Linked DNA regions of Saccharomyces cerevisiae S288C. The protein of the gene in region 2 interacts with the protein of the main gene of each other region in a biochemical or structural test. Each region holds a gene or a part of one and is shown on either strand. Other genes may lie near its edges.

The links.
Region 1: the proteins of HXK2 (region 2) and MIG1 form a complex in vitro, tested with the Saccharomyces cerevisiae proteins (2 studies listed by BioGRID).
Region 3: of the proteins of HXK2 (region 2) and TDA1, one has a biochemical effect on the other in vitro, tested with the Saccharomyces cerevisiae proteins (2 studies listed by BioGRID).

What each region holds. Positions count from the first base shown.
Region 1 is NC_001139.9:430,375-435,668, forward strand, and holds MIG1 (transcription factor MIG1), read right to left. Parts: upstream 2,689-5,294; coding exon 1,174-2,688; downstream 1-1,173. Other genes in the region: VIR1 (Vir1p), read left to right, coding at 1-956; YGL034C (uncharacterized protein), read right to left, coding at 2,840-3,205; HOP2 (Hop2p), read left to right, coding at 5,251-5,294. UniProt on the Saccharomyces cerevisiae protein: Involved in glucose repression of the SUC, GAL and MAL genes as well as of the CAT8 gene. Binds to two sites in the upstream region of SUC2.
Region 2 is NC_001139.9:21,935-27,228, reverse strand, and holds HXK2 (hexokinase 2), read right to left. Parts: upstream 3,295-5,294; coding exon 1,834-3,294; downstream 1-1,833. Other genes in the region: RTG2 (Rtg2p), read left to right, coding at 1-1,511; FZF1 (Fzf1p), read right to left, coding at 4,026-4,925; high-affinity Zn(2+) transporter ZRT1, read right to left, coding at 5,121-5,294. UniProt on the Saccharomyces cerevisiae protein: Catalyzes the phosphorylation of hexose, such as D-glucose and D-fructose, to hexose 6-phosphate (D-glucose 6-phosphate and D-fructose 6-phosphate, respectively).
Region 3 is NC_001145.3:849,383-854,676, forward strand, and holds TDA1 (protein kinase TDA1), read left to right. Parts: upstream 1-3,247; coding exon 3,248-5,008; downstream 5,009-5,294. Other genes in the region: aminodeoxychorismate lyase ABZ2, read left to right, coding at 1-427; ATP-dependent RNA helicase HAS1, read right to left, coding at 692-2,209. UniProt on the Saccharomyces cerevisiae protein: Serine/threonine protein kinase shown to have protein phosphorylation activity in vitro.

The DNA.
Region 1 (5,294 bases), 410 kb from region 2:
ATCATTTGATCAAATTCGCGACAAAGGTTTCTCTGGATGATTTGATTTTACAAAAAATATCCATAAACTTATTGAATCATTTGTTCTTCCATCAAATTAGGGATGGAAGTGATGATGATAATTTAATTAAAAAGTTATGTTTAAAAAATCAACTTTCTTTCCAAGCTTTGAAAGATTACATCACATTGTGGAATGACGGTTCTGAAGTTTATAATGCATTTTATAAGGAGCTTTTCTATGAAGAGCAACCAAAGATTAAGCCAATAAAACTAACAACATCTGACTTGCTGAAATTATTCCCTGAGGATGTTCAATTTGTGATATCCACTCCACCAAATACAATAACTTCAGCATCAACAAGCGATAATTGTACATCATCACAATCAGCTGCGCAGAAAAATATTGAAAACTTTACTACGTTATCGAAGTACGATGTCTACTCGTCCACATCTTTCATACCGTCCACGTCGAAAAACACTAACACTAACGTTAGTAAGCAGCAGCAGCAGCCTCAAAACTCTACTCCATGTTCTTCCAACAGGTTTTTGTTCAACAAAAGCAGCCTAATTTCTCAGGAAAGTAATGGTAGCAACAATAACAGCGGCACACAAGGACCTGGTTCCATGAATGAGAGTTATTCTCTTGACAATTCATTCAACACAACCAATACCAATATGACGAGACAACCAACCACCTTAACTAGAGCAACCGATGCTATGACTACGGCACCTACGACACCAATTCCATACAAGAACACTAGTGGAAGCAGCAATAACAATCTATGGATTGAATCGCCCATGACAAATTTCAAGGGTTCCACCATCAGTAAAAGTACTAATAAGAGCAAAATGGTTAATACTGGTAAAAATTATATTTTAGGGGGCCACAATAAAGTTAAAAACAACAGTAGAGCTCAATCAATACATATAGATGACTTTGAAAATGAGAACAATTAATTATCTCTGCGGAAGACTAAGACAATCAAAATATGTATTCTTACTATCATAATTAAATATTTTTATCGTTATTAATTATTATTATTATTACTATTATTATTATTATTATTATTATTATTATTATTATTTATTATTTATTAATTATTAATTGTTAATATTATTAATTCTTGTCTATTGTCTTTTGATTTATCTGCACCGCCAAAAACTTGTCAGCGTATCAGTCCATGTGTGGGAAGGGCAACGGTAAACTTCTTATGGGTGGTAATGTTTCCAGTTCTTGAACTTGTGAATCCGACTGAGAAATGGGGGTTTGTTGGGTGGATATAGCAGTATTAATCATATTCACCCTTGGTGACAATAATAACGGGGTTGTACTTAACGAACTACTGGAAGCCATCATTTGATTTTGATTTTGATTTTGACTTTGGTTTGACGTATTTTGTGATTGCAGTAGGGTATGTTGCTCTTGCTGCTGTTGTTGAACGTTCAGTAATCTGTTGTTCAACTCCTTTTGGAAATCAGGAGATGATGAGGAGAAATGCAAGTGATTTTGGTTCATTACATACCCCAAAGTGTGCAAATTCGTACCACTAGTGGATCTACTTAGCATTGTCGTGGGCGTGGAAGTCTTAGATTTCTTTCTTGATTGCTCTTGCAAATAGTCTTGCTCAAGGTTATCGATACTAGAGTTAGACGGGTCCTTTAGTCCGTCTTCTTCATCCTCACCACCAGTAGTAAAATCAGAGTCAGATTCGTTGGTATTTCTTTGGCCAACCAACAAGTCGTTCAAACTTAAAACTGAACTTGGTCTCTTCAACTGTACGGAACTCTGAGTTTGTGCTCTGAGACTTCCATTGTTGTTTGGATTTGCATTGTTCAATCCTTGAAAATCCGTTAAAGATCGCGGCCTTGGTAATATAACAGTGTTGGAATAACGTGGTGAAAGAGAATTTTGTTGTTGTTGTAGTTGTTTCTGTTCAGGACCGTCTATGAAAACAGTCCTTGGCGCACTGCTAGCAATGGGCGTCATCATTTGTAGGGACGATAACGCGTTCAGTTTCAGTCTACTGCCACTATGGCTATTGCTCAACGAAGACAAAGCAGTGGAAGCGGATGAAGTTTGGTAGTTCATATTATTCAGTGCTAAAGAAGGTGGAGGCTTCACCGAGACGGGAATCTTAGCCATCGTTTTGGGAGAAGAAACCATATATGGGTCATTCCCACCACTTTCGCCGATTTCGAATTTGGTTTTTCTACCTTTTCTTGTAGAAGATCGACTTGAATTTTCTTTCGGAGCAATAGCAATAGGAATTAAAGGCGATAGGTGTTGCTGTGGTAATGGCGGTGAAAAATTTGCCGTATTTAAATCTGGTATACTGGTAGCACTAGAACTAGCACTATTTATTGGAGAGCCCACAACCTTCTTCTTTCTGCCTCTTTTACCTCGAGGGTGGGAGTTTGTATGAATTCTTCTGTGTCTCGTCAGTTCATCGCTTCTACTGAACCTTTTCACACATCCGGGGAAGTCACACGCGTGAGGCTTCTCACCTGTATGAATTCTCATGTGTCTCGTCTGATGTTCCAGTCTGTGAAAAGCTCTATGACAGATAGGACAAGCATGTGGTCTTGGCGCCTCTGACTTCGCAGCTACTTTGGACTTGCTTTTACTCTCCTTCAATAGTGACCCATCATCAACGTTAGACACTTGTGTCATTGGATATGGGCTTTGCATGGCTATGGTAGTATGTCGTCTCCACTATACTCAACTCTCGTGTAGTTACAAGCGAGCTAGAATAAATGGCTCTCTTATCTTCGAAATGCTTTACCGGGCTTTCTTACTCTCCTTTGTCTTCGTTAATGAGTACTGGGGTGAAAAAAAAGGGTTATAATAAATAAATTATCCAAGAACGACTATTCTCTTTTCTTTTTTCTGCTTGCTCTTCCCCACTTTTCTCGTCCAGCCTGTTGTAAAAATTTGTTGTTGCTTCTTTCGTATTAGTTTTTCCGAAAGAAAGCGCCGCAGGGCCTTTACCATCACTCCAGGTTTTCCCGGAGTGGGGTGGCAGTCCGCAGTCTCTCGCGAAATCAAAGGCAACAAGCAGACACGTGGAGAAAAGCCAGGAGAACTCAAGAGCTCGAACAAGTATGCTAGCAACTAAACAAGCCGGCCTACGCCACTCTGGAGTTTCTCGCGGGGCCCGGCCGCTACAGGTTTCCTGAGAAGCCATTATAATGGCAACTACATTCATCAACACTCCATAAAATCCTATCGAGTTACACTGCTAGTGTCGCAATTGCGCTTTTCTGCTGCTTAATTGTGGGCCCCAAGCTCTTATCACTTGCTACCATCCTATAAACTGTATGGAATGCCATCACAACTTTCGGAAAAATAAAGCGCTTTTTTACGCTATCAGTGGAGATATTACGAATTAGGCACAGGGAAGAAATAGATAAAAAATTCATGGGGCCAACCCCAGACGTCAATCTTCTACACGTCAAGTTTTGAAAAAAATTAAATAAAAAATAAAAAAAAAAACCGGCGCGAAGGAAACGTGCTGGCTCGCTAACTTCTAGTCTTACTGTACTGACTACCTTCCAGTCCTACTGGTTATACTGCATTGTACGGCAACTTACACACCCCACGCACTTACTTTCCTCCACAATGCCATCTAGAAAAATCGATTACCCGCTAATTTTCCGGGAAAAAGTCGATTAATGTAGGTTAGTGGCAGCTATGCTAAGCAATGATAAAGGAACCATACACGATATTTCTACAGAAGGCTATTAAATAGGGTGAAATAGGATGAAGCAACAATCAAAAATTATGAAAGCATCCGTTTTCTCGCTATTCTAATAATGGGACAGAACTGCCAATTCTTGATCTGGTGATCCATACGATTAAAATAGGGGTTCATCGCATGGAAAGTCTGTAAATCACACTTGCCTACCATAAGGAAGTCATCAATTCCCGAATTTTAAACGGGTTTCTATGAGTATTTGGAGGATGTTCATTCTTGGTAACATTACTGATGACATTCAGTGATACACTGCCTTCAAGGAAACACACGCGATAGAGGCAAAACAATGTTGCAACGGCAATTAATTTCTGTCATTGTAATGAATTTCTGCTCGTTGCTTCTAACCATATCTTGTGTAACGCTTGCGTTGATATGCAAAAATAACGAGATGGAATTTGCTGCCCTCTTTCAGCCATATGATGGCGGCAAAAACTTTGAAATTTGTGCACAGGATATAATAAGCTACTTCTTGACTCTAACGCCGTACTACAGTTTACAAAAAATGTATACAAACTCTTAGGATTGGTCAAGAAAAGTAAATGTTGTACTGCTCCAAAGATATTGCGATGCCGTGATAATTCAAAAGGGTCGACCCAGTCTATTTCACTCGCGCGATAATCGTTCGTTATCCGAAGCTGGCCAATTGATACAATTAATTGACATCAGCAGACAGCAAATGCACTTGATATACGCAGCTTAAAGCAAGGGTAAATTATCTGAAAAAGGATTGAATACAATCAAAACCTTCACATACATTGGTAGTAATATCGAGCATCGCTATTAGCAGAGTATCTCGAAGTCTACCACGGCGAAAGTTGATTTTTTATCTGAGGTGCTGATCTTCGGACGCAATGCGCAAACGTAATTCCGTAGTTTTCCCAATTATTTTATTTTTTAAATTACACGTACCAGGTAGATCACATACATATACCCAACACCTGTTATATAGTGAATTGAATTATTCGGAACATCAATAATCCTTTGCTTATAATTCTTGTTATCATCCATCTTGCATCTTTATTTAATTATATTTTGCACAATAAGCTATCTATGTGAGCTGCGTACGGTGACTCCAAACAATCTGTTAATTTCCATATAAATAACTTGTAGTCGGATCGTACAATGGCTCTATATAGGTTTGGACCGGTATGTAACCTAATATGGCTGACTCAAAACCTGCTAGATAGTTATCCAAGTGAATTTGAGTCTCGTATCCTTTATCACATTTTTACAATAGTGGCTAGCTATCTTTTTCATGTTAGGCTCACCCGGTATTCTCATGCAAGATCAAACAAAAAATGGTAAAGTTTTGGACTTTACATTGCTTACAGTTGCTTTTTTATGAAGATTCAAAAGATTATGTCCTCGGCGGCTAAATTTTCCATTAATAATATTATCCTTTTACGCGACCGAAAAAGAGAAGCGTTTTAAGAGTTGTTTCTAACAAATATTAATAATAAAGCTAACGTGAACTGACCAGGCTCTATTTGAAAGATATGGCACCGAAAAAGAAATCAAACGATAGAGCCATTCAGGCAAA
Region 2 (5,294 bases):
TCAAATTAATTTGCGATGATTTTGGTGTACCTGAAACTAGTGTCAGAGTAATTGCAACAGAAGCCACGCGAGATGCTATTAACGCGGATGAATTTGTTAATGCTGTTTACGGTAGCACTGGCTGGAAAGTAGAAATATTAGGCCAGGAAGATGAAACTAGGGTCGGCATATATGGTGTTGTTTCCTCATTTAATACAGTAAGAGGTCTATATCTAGATGTGGCAGGTGGTAGTACTCAGTTATCATGGGTAATAAGCTCGCACGGAGAAGTCAAGCAATCCAGCAAACCTGTATCTTTGCCATATGGAGCTGGAACTCTTTTGAGAAGAATGAGAACAGATGATAATAGGGCACTTTTTTATGAGATTAAAGAAGCGTACAAAGATGCGATTGAAAAAATTGGTATACCTCAAGAAATGATTGATGACGCCAAGAAAGAAGGTGGATTTGACCTTTGGACCCGTGGGGGTGGTTTAAGAGGTATGGGACATCTGCTTCTTTACCAGTCGGAAGGTTATCCCATCCAAACAATAATTAACGGATATGCTTGCACTTATGAAGAATTCTCGTCTATGTCAGATTATCTATTCCTAAAACAAAAAATACCAGGTTCTTCAAAAGAGCATAAAATATTTAAGGTTTCTGATAGAAGGGCTTTACAACTTCCTGCCGTTGGTTTGTTCATGAGTGCTGTTTTTGAAGCGATTCCCCAGATCAAAGCTGTACATTTTAGTGAGGGTGGTGTTCGAGAGGGTTCACTTTATTCTCTTCTTCCAAAAGAAATTCGTGCACAAGATCCATTGCTAATTGCGTCCCGTCCTTATGCTCCATTACTTACTGAAAAATATCTATATCTATTGAGAACATCAATCCCACAAGAAGATATACCAGAAATAGTAAACGAAAGGATTGCTCCTGCTTTATGTAACTTAGCATTTGTTCATGCCTCTTATCCAAAGGAGTTACAACCAACAGCTGCATTACATGTTGCTACAAGAGGGATAATAGCCGGCTGTCATGGATTATCTCACAGAGCTAGAGCGCTGATAGGAATTGCTCTATGTAGTAGATGGGGCGGCAACATTCCGGAATCTGAAGAAAAATACTCCCAAGAATTAGAACAAGTAGTTCTACGCGAAGGTGATAAAGCTGAAGCATTGAGAATTGTATGGTGGACGAAGTATATTGGTACGATTATGTATGTGATTTGCGGTGTTCATCCAGGTGGTAATATCAGAGATAACGTATTTGATTTCCATGTTTCTAAGCGTAGTGAGGTGGAGACCAGTTTAAAAGAATTAATCATTGATGATGCAAACACTACAAAGGTAAAAGAAGAATCCACGCGTAAAAATCGCGGGTATGAAGTGGTTGTGAGAATTAGTAAGGACGATCTTAAAACAAGTGCTTCCGTTCGTTCCAGAATTATCACGCTACAAAAGAAAGTACGCAAGCTATCTAGAGGAAGTGTAGAGAGGGTTAAAATTGGCGTGCAATTTTATGAAGAATAAAGACATCTAGTCTTTAAATACTTGAACAATAAATACGAAATCCTTATATAAGCATCTTTTACTACCAAAAAAATTTAAAATTAAGCAAGAGAAAAAAACGAGCAATTGTTAAAAGAAACTAAAATCATGTAGATTTCATAAATCGTCATATTCTTTGTCTATATAAATATTTATCGTCACGAATAAATCCCGTGAATTTCTAACAAAGTTTATACAATATCACAGTTGTAAAAGTAAGAAAAAAAAAGATCATAGAAAACATGTTCACATAAGTAGAAAAAGGGCACCTTCTTGTTGTTCAAACTTAATTTACAAATTAAGTTTAAGCACCGATGATACCAACGGACTTACCTTCAGCAATTCTTTTTTGGGCCAAAGCAGCAATAACAGCGGCACCAGCACCGGAACCATCTTCAGCAGGAACAATCTTGATTGGGTAGTCGTCTAGTGAGGTTTGAGTCCAGCCGTAAATGTCCTTCAAAGCATTGGCAGCCTTTTCTTTGAAACCTGGGTATCTGTTGTAAACGGAACCGTCTGCAGCGATGTGACCGGTCTTGTAACCTCTCTTTTGACAGATAGCAGCAATACCACAAACGGACAATCTAGCAGCTCTAGCACCAATCAATTCAGATAAACGTCTGATCAATTTACGTTCTTGAACAGTAGTGTTGATACCGAACTCATTTTGGAACAAGTCATCGGTATCTTCTAGGTTCTCGAATGGATCTTCCTCGATTCTGGCTGGGTAAGAAGTGTCCATGACGAAAGGCTTGTCGAACTTAGACAAGTCTTGGTTCTTGAAGATGAAACCTTGTTTGTACATGTCCATCAAGGCCAAACGCAAAATTTCACCTAAGTAGTAACCAGAAGACATTTTTTCAAAGGTTTGTTGGCCTGGTCTTGGAGATTCTTCATCAATGGTGATATCGTATTTAGTTCTTGGCAAAACGACATGTTCATTATCGAAGGAACCGTATTCACAGTTGATGGCCATTGGAGCAGATGGTGGAATGTCATCAGATAGTTTTCCTTGTAGCTTTTCGATATCGGAACAAACATCGTAGTAAGCACCATTGACACCAGTACCGAAGATAACACCCATCTTAGTTTCTGGGTCAGTGTAGTAAGAAGCAACCAAAGTACCGGTAGTGTCGTTTATCAAAGCAACAACTTCAATTGGGATATTCCTCTTAGTGATTTGCTTTTGCAACATTGGAACAACATCGTGGTTTTCAATGTTTGGAATATCAAAACCTTTAGTCCATCTTTGCAAGATACCTTCATTGATTTTGTTTTGAGAAGCTGGGAAAGAAAAGGTGAAACCCAATGGAATTGGCTCAGAGATACCTTGTGGGAATTGCTCATCAATAAAAGCTTTCAAAGAGTCGGCAATAAATTCCCACAATTCGTCTGGATTTTGAGTAGTTCTCATAGCATCTGGTAATCTGTACTTAGATTGAGTGGTGTCAAAGGTACGGTCACCGCCCAACTTGACTAAGACAACTCTCAAGTTGGTACCACCCAAATCAATGGCCAAGAAATCACCGGATTCCTTACCAGTTGGGAAATCCATAACCCAACCTGGAATCATTGGAATGTTACCACCCTTCTTGGACAAACCCTTTTCCAATTCGGAAATGAAGTGCTTGGTAACGGCTTGTAAAGTTTCAGTTGGAACAGTGAAAATTTTTTCAAAATTCTCAATTTGTTGCATCAATTCCTTTGGCACATCGGCCATGGAACCCTTTCTGGCTTGTGGTTTTTTTGGACCTAAATGAACCATTTTATTTAATTAGCGTACTTATTATGTGTGGAGAATTATATTCCTACAACCTTTTCAAAGAAAAAGCGAAAAAATATTAAGAAACTTTGAAGTTAAGTTATAAAAGTTAAGGAATTTTTTTTAGATATGGGGTAGGATTACTCTTTTTTATAGTTTTGTAGATAAGACAGTGGCGAAGGTGCAACAAAGAGACATCACGGAATTGGACACGATATTTGCAAGCTCGCCTCAGCAGGAGGTAATTTCGTGGATCTCGCAATCAAAGGTGTTTCGTGGTCGTCGTCGTCGTCGTGGAAAATTTTTCAGAAAGAAAAGAACGATTACCTAAACTGTCTTTTTCTTTTACAACATGATGTCCCTGAAACAGAGAAAGTACCGTACGAATGTCGATCGACCGGAAAAACTGCCCGCGAGAAAAAGAAATCTCTTTTCTTCGATTTTTTTGTGCCGTCCGGTTTATTGCCCGGTGCCGTCCGGCATGATAGCCATTTCTAGGTACCAATGTGCGAGGAGGTTCAGAAAACTCGTAGTAACATGATGGAAAAGGCATTAGAAAGAGCAGTATACTCTGGGGTCACCAATGTGGAGCTCTGGAGCCCCGCACTTTTTTTCAAGAATAATAGGATGTATACGTAATACGTAATAGGTATCACGCTATTTACTCTTGCCTTTTCTTTGTTTCATAGTTCGAATCACATGAGTAGAGGACGGAAATTGCTCTTCTATGGCGTTCAGTATTCGAATAAATCCCAGACGCTAGGCTTATATAAATGAATGTAGCTGTACTTTACCAGCGTCTCAGGAATGAAGGCGTGCGTGTGGTCATAGTGGTCAATGAGATCAAATACAGATGCGAATGGACTAAGCTCTTGACAATCACTATGTTTGCACCGGTTATCCGACCAGTAACTCTCTGGATCAGTTGGGGTTTGTGCCGTAGTGCTATCAACGCTTTCACTACTGCTTGTCCCAGTAGTGCTAAATGAAAGTTGTGGAATGGATGTAGTGTCGGTGCTGCTGGATTTCTCAGAGGTTGGAAGCGATTCCTTCAGAGATGGATCTCCAGATGGTACAACAAGCTTACTTGCTATATGATGTTGCAACATATGATTTATTAGATCGTCATTGAAGCTGGTAACTTTTTGACATGATTTGTATGGGCATTGTAGCACTTGCATGTCATCATATCCAGGCAAATGACCTTGCGAGAATTCTTCACCACACATTGGAGAGCCGGAAGGTAATTTTGGGTCAAAACCTCCCTCCTTGCCATTGAGTTCTGCTTTCACATTCGCATTCACTCCTTCGTGTTTACGGTCAATTCTTGATGCAAGCTTGCTTTTTCTTTCATGACTATTTAAATGCCTTCTTAATTGCTGATTTGTGACAAATCTTTTTTGACATAATGTGCACGCTTTGGGCTTGATTTGTGAATGAGTCCATTTGTGAACTCGTAGATGGCACGGTCTTATAAATTTTTTGCCACATCCCGGCTCATCACAATGATACGGCTTTTGATTGGTATGCGAATTTTGGTGTTGCTGAAGCAAACTAGGTCTGTTGTAGACTTTCTCACAACCGTCAAAAGAACATTTGTAATTTCTAGACTTGGTTCTCCCTATATCCGTCATTGTTTTGGTGGCCACGTATTCTGGTACCACTTGTGCACACCAGCGTAAAAGTTGTCATTTTCATCTTCTTTAGCGTATTTATTGTCCGAGACTGTTAAAGAAAAATTATTACTGTTTTTTTGCTATTACTAAAGAATAAATAACTATAAAATATGAAATAGAATCTATATGGAACATGCAGAATTTCGCTTTGGTTTAAGCCCACTTACCGATCAAAGCCATGATACCAGCACCGAAAAGAGTGCATATAACGTTGAAGGACAATTCTCTTAGATCCTTTGTTCTTTGAGGATTGAATATAAAGTCTCTTGCTAGTAGTTCAACCAAACCAGTGTACAATAAGATACCAGCAGAAATGGCATCCAAAAC
Region 3 (5,294 bases), on a different chromosome or scaffold from region 2:
GGATGTTGTTGTTTCATCTGAACCATTGAACGCATCAGCTTTCACCAGTTTTAAAACCACTTCAAGAGATCATTACGCTAGGGCGAGAGTTCGCATGCAAACTGCTATAAATAACTTAAGAGGTTCAGAACCTACTTCTTCTGTCTCGCAATGCGAAATTTTATTTTCCAACAAATCTGGCCTGCTGATGGAAGGTTCAATAACAAACGTGGCTGTAATTCAAAAAGATCCTAACGGTTCTAAAAAGTATGTGACACCAAGATTAGCAACTGGATGTTTGTGCGGAACAATGCGTCATTATTTATTGCGGCTCGGCCTTATTGAAGAGGGAGATATAGATATAGGAAGCCTTACCGTTGGCAACGAAGTTTTGCTTTTCAATGGCGTCATGGGATGCATAAAGGGAACAGTGAAGACAAAATATTGAGCAGACGACAGATTTTCATATCAATGAAGTTTTTTTACAATAGTTTACAAATCATGATTTTACATACTCAAATATGTGCAGGTTGATACAGACAACGTACGTAGAAGACAACAAACAGAAAACAGCGGTTTATACATTTATTTAAATGACATACAGTGGAGAAGCAGAGAAAGGAAAAGGAGTGCGATGAGAACAGAAGATGAATACTTCGGTTGTGTTGGTTCCACGTACACATTAATAGCATTAAAAATTGATCCTCTGAAATTACTTATGAGTTTTACGTCTTTTGGTATTTGGCGTTTTTCCACTGGCACCAATTGTAATGTTAACCTTTGGAGGGACTGGAAAACCGTAAGACTTTGCTACTTTGGCTAAATCCAGCTTATCGATTTGATAGACAGTTTTCAAAGAGTGGGAAGCGTACGCTTGTAAATAAGATCTATAACCATCCTTGGCTGTTTGATGTAGATAATAGTTGGATTTAATTAATTTTTCTAATTGTGATTGAACGTTTGCAATTTTGTTTTCCGGGAATTCGTACTCATTTAATGGGACCTTGGAAGCCTTTAGATATCTTAAAAACCCTAATTCATTAGGTGTTAAAAACATTAAAGATTTACCCTTACCTTTAGTGCCTCTTGCGGTTCTTCCGACTCTATGAATATAATCTCTTGGATCATCAGGAGGGTCGAATTGAATGATCCAGTCCACAGCAGGGATATCTAGCCCTCTAGCTGCGACATCTGTACAAATCAAGATACCTCTTTCCGCATTACAGAATTCGAAAAATGTATTTGTTCTCTTTTGTTGTTTTTGCTTACCGTGTAATTCGAGGACTGGCAAATCAATATAGTTCAATAATTCAGCGTAATATTTCACAGAGTTACAAGATGATAAAAATACAATAATTTTCTTTTTTTGATTTCTTTTCAAGAAAGAAAATAACAACAAAAATCTCTTATCACTGTCACATACCACATAGCCTTGTTCTAATCCATCTGCGGTGGAGTTGTCGGTTTCAGGAACGACATTAATGAAAAGAGGGCCCGGTCTCAGCGAGATTCTAGCCAAATCCTCAACTTTGGTCGTTTGTGTAGCTGAAAATAACATGGATTGCCTATCTTCGTTTGGCAAGATCTTAATTATCTGCCTCATTTCATCTTCAAACCCAATTTCTAAGATTCTGTCCGCTTCATCGATAATCAAAGCCTTCAAGTTCTTGAATACAAATCCTTTTGTATTTTGTAAGTGATCCAATAATCTTCCAGGGGTAGCAATCAACATGTTAACACCTTTCATCAATTTTTCGGCTTCCTGTCTTCTATTTGCACCACCAATGACAATACCAAATGTCTGTGAATGGAATTCCATTAACTCTCTTGCCACTCCAAAAATCTGTAAAGCCAACTCTCTTGTAGGCGTAATGACAATTATACCGGTACCATTTCTTGGTTTGAATTTCAAAGAATGCAATAGTTCAATAGCAGGGATGAGAAACGCTAGAGTTTTACCAGAACCTGTCTTGGCAGCACCAAGAACATCCCTACCGGCCAAAAGAGGTGGGATAGTCCTTGCCTGAACAGAAGTCATAGTGGTAAATCCCATCTTTTCAATGGCCTTTAAAGTTGGCTGTGATAACTTTAGTTCTTCGAACTTTTCCACACAAGTAGTTTGTTCTCCCTCAGGTGCGGCATTGTTTTGTTTTGAAGTGCTCTTTTCATCTACTACAGGTTCTTCTGTAGATTCAGAATCTCTAGAACGTTTATTTGACGGGGTAGCCATACTTCTCCTGTTAATATTGCTCAGCTTATCTAATTATTATAGTATACAGTTATCCAATAGCTATGTACTCAAGTACCGTGTATACACTATAAAATCTCATCTCATCGCTAAAGCTAATATTGAAAAAAAAAAAAAAAAAAAAAAGAAAAAGCAAATAAAAAATTTTCAATTCGGGTAACGAAGAATCGACTCTCGCCGGGTAAACAATTCTTAGTCGTCATACACTCCTCTTTACGTTAAGAAAATAGAAGTAGCAGCGCTTTGTAAAGCATTAAAGCGTCATGGATTGCAAAATACACATAATATATCACTTGTGATAGTGAGAAATGGAATGAAGTGGTTTAAGATGCTCTTTTACCAATAAACATATTGCGCCTATCAAATCATTTTCCACCCCTGTTAACTGATACAGATATAGCCTTACATATAACTTTTGCACTCCCTAAAATTACCATGGCTGTTCACCGCCTGCTATCATCCATGTTTTTACATACATCTATTAGGTTTGCCATCTTAGCCGCCGAAGCTATCGTTGCCGGTACAGGCGCTCCTTGAATAACCCCCTCCCCCCCACGCTATTCTTCAAATTCCGATTTCAGCTTCTCTTTGTTTTTCCTTTTTTGGCACCTCGGAAAAACCTCCACGTGTTAGGTTATTCCGCCGATTCCACGGGTGGGGTGCTACCAAGACTCCTGAAAAAGAAACTGTATGACGAAAAGAAAAAAAAAAAGCTGCTTGAATTCCAACACCGCTTTCTTGTTCTGACAATAGAAAGGGGGATTCCTAAAAAAAGAAAAAGAGGGCGGGGTTTATCATGTACTCAGAATATGAAAACGTGTCGAACGGGGATGACTTCTTCTGCTTCTTTACTTCTTTCTATTTAGAGTGACAGTTTTTTTATTTGTTTTGCTAACTTGTTTATTTATTAATTTCTTGTTTGCTCCTTCAGTTACCTACCACGACTGTCTCAGCCAAACCGCGATATTTTCATACAATTGACATTACAACAGTTCAAAAAGAAAAATACACATCCAGGATATGACTACAGCTAGTTCTTCTGCTTCCCAGCTACAACAGCGCCTGCCGGAAGAAAAACCTTGGCCGCAACTGAGTGGCAGCAATGCAGACGCTCAAACCTTCAAATGTAAATACGTAACCAACCACAACTCCTTGGGCGATGGGAATTTTAGCGTCGTGAAAGAATGTATGAATATACACACAAAGGATTTGTACGCGATGAAGCTTATTAAGAAACAAACTGTCAAGAACAAAATTCAACTTATTCAAAGAGAGTTCGACCTTTTGAGGTCAATAAGCGAGAAAATCAGAGATATGGAAAAAAAGAATGAACATTCTTTGGACATTTTTGAGGGGCATCACCATATTTTACAACTTTTCGACTATTTTGAGACGGCAGATAACATTGTCCTGATCACTCAGCTGTGTCAGAAGGGAGATTTGTATGAAAAAATTGTTGAAAATCAGTGTTTAGACCTCGAAACTCAAGTTACCTCGTACTGCGCCTGTTTGGTGAGCGTTCTCGAGTTTTTGCATTCTCAAGGTATTGTTCATAGAGACTTGAAAGCAGAAAACGTCTTATTCAGATTGAGAGTGAACGAAAACGAAAAAAACCTACAGGGTGAACACCACGGAGATTTCAAATACGATCTCTTGGCACACGACCTAGTTCTCGCCGATTTTGGTCTTGCTGCTGAATATAACACAAGTAAGGTAAACTCGTTAAAGGAGTTTGTTGGAACCATCTCGTATATTGCTCCAGAAATCGTCAAGTGCAAAGGTGTCGGTGAAATGACTCCTGATCAAGTTGGCAAACTAGACAAGTATGGTTGTCCGGTGGATATATGGGCCCTTGGTGTACTGACATATTTCATGGCCTTCGGCTATACGCCCTTTGACTGTACCACAGACGACGAAACTCTGGAATGTATTTCAAAATGTGACTATTACGTCGACGAACAAATGATGCACGACCCTAAATACGAACAATTTTGGAATTTTGTTCAATGCTGTTTTACTATTGACCCGGCCGTTAGGCGTTCTGCTAAGAATTTGAAACAGCATCCCTTTATTAAGGATTATTTTGCTACTTCAAATTCTTTGAATACTAAGGACACGCCGAATTTCTCCTTTCATCCAACAATAAGAAGGGTATCTTCTACAGCGTCCATGCACACATTGAGGTCTCCTTCCAAATCAAGAAAGACAACTACTCTAGCGTATTTAAATATGGATGGCGGGTCCTCTGAAACTTCCACCGCCTTCAGCAGCAAGATGGATTTGCCTGACCTTTACGTTGATAGAACCATTAATTCTCGTGAAAGATCATTGAATAGAATTCGAGACACTCTGAAGAAAACATTATCCATGACATCTCTTAAGCCTGCAGGCACATTCGACTATCTTCACGCTAACAAAAACGGTACTTCTTTATCATCATCCAAGTCAGGCCTCGTGAAAAAGAATTCTACTTTTGTCTTGGACCCTAAGCCACCAAAGAATAGCTTGATGAACGGTTGTTTCAGCACCACTCCAGAATCGCGCTCAAATTTCAATACCCCCAAAACCTTATCGAGGCAAGGTTCCTCTACTAGCGTGAAGAAATATGTCAATGAAGTTGACTTACTTTTAACCCCACGTACGGCCTCGATGAGCAGCAATGATACCACAGCCATTAACGATTATGATACTACTAACGATAAGAATCCTGCAAGAAAACACGCAGCTTCATTCCAGGTGAATGTTGATGATTCTGATGGTGATGAAACCATGCAGATATAGTGTTGAATGATAATTCACCTTTTTTTTCTTTCTTTTTTTTTTTACCTGGGACGACATTCTAACTAATGAAATTTACGATTAATTATTCTTTTTTTTTTTTTTCAAGAAATAAATATAACTGTAACATATATATATTAATTATGGGGGATCACAAAGAAAAATAGTAACTTTAAGAATCAAATAATAATGTGTTGCGCTTCTTAGTACTCATCCGGCATTTACGGTTTCCATGGTATGGTTTATTTTTCGTGCATAGTATTACCCGTCGTGTTCTTTTCGGACATTG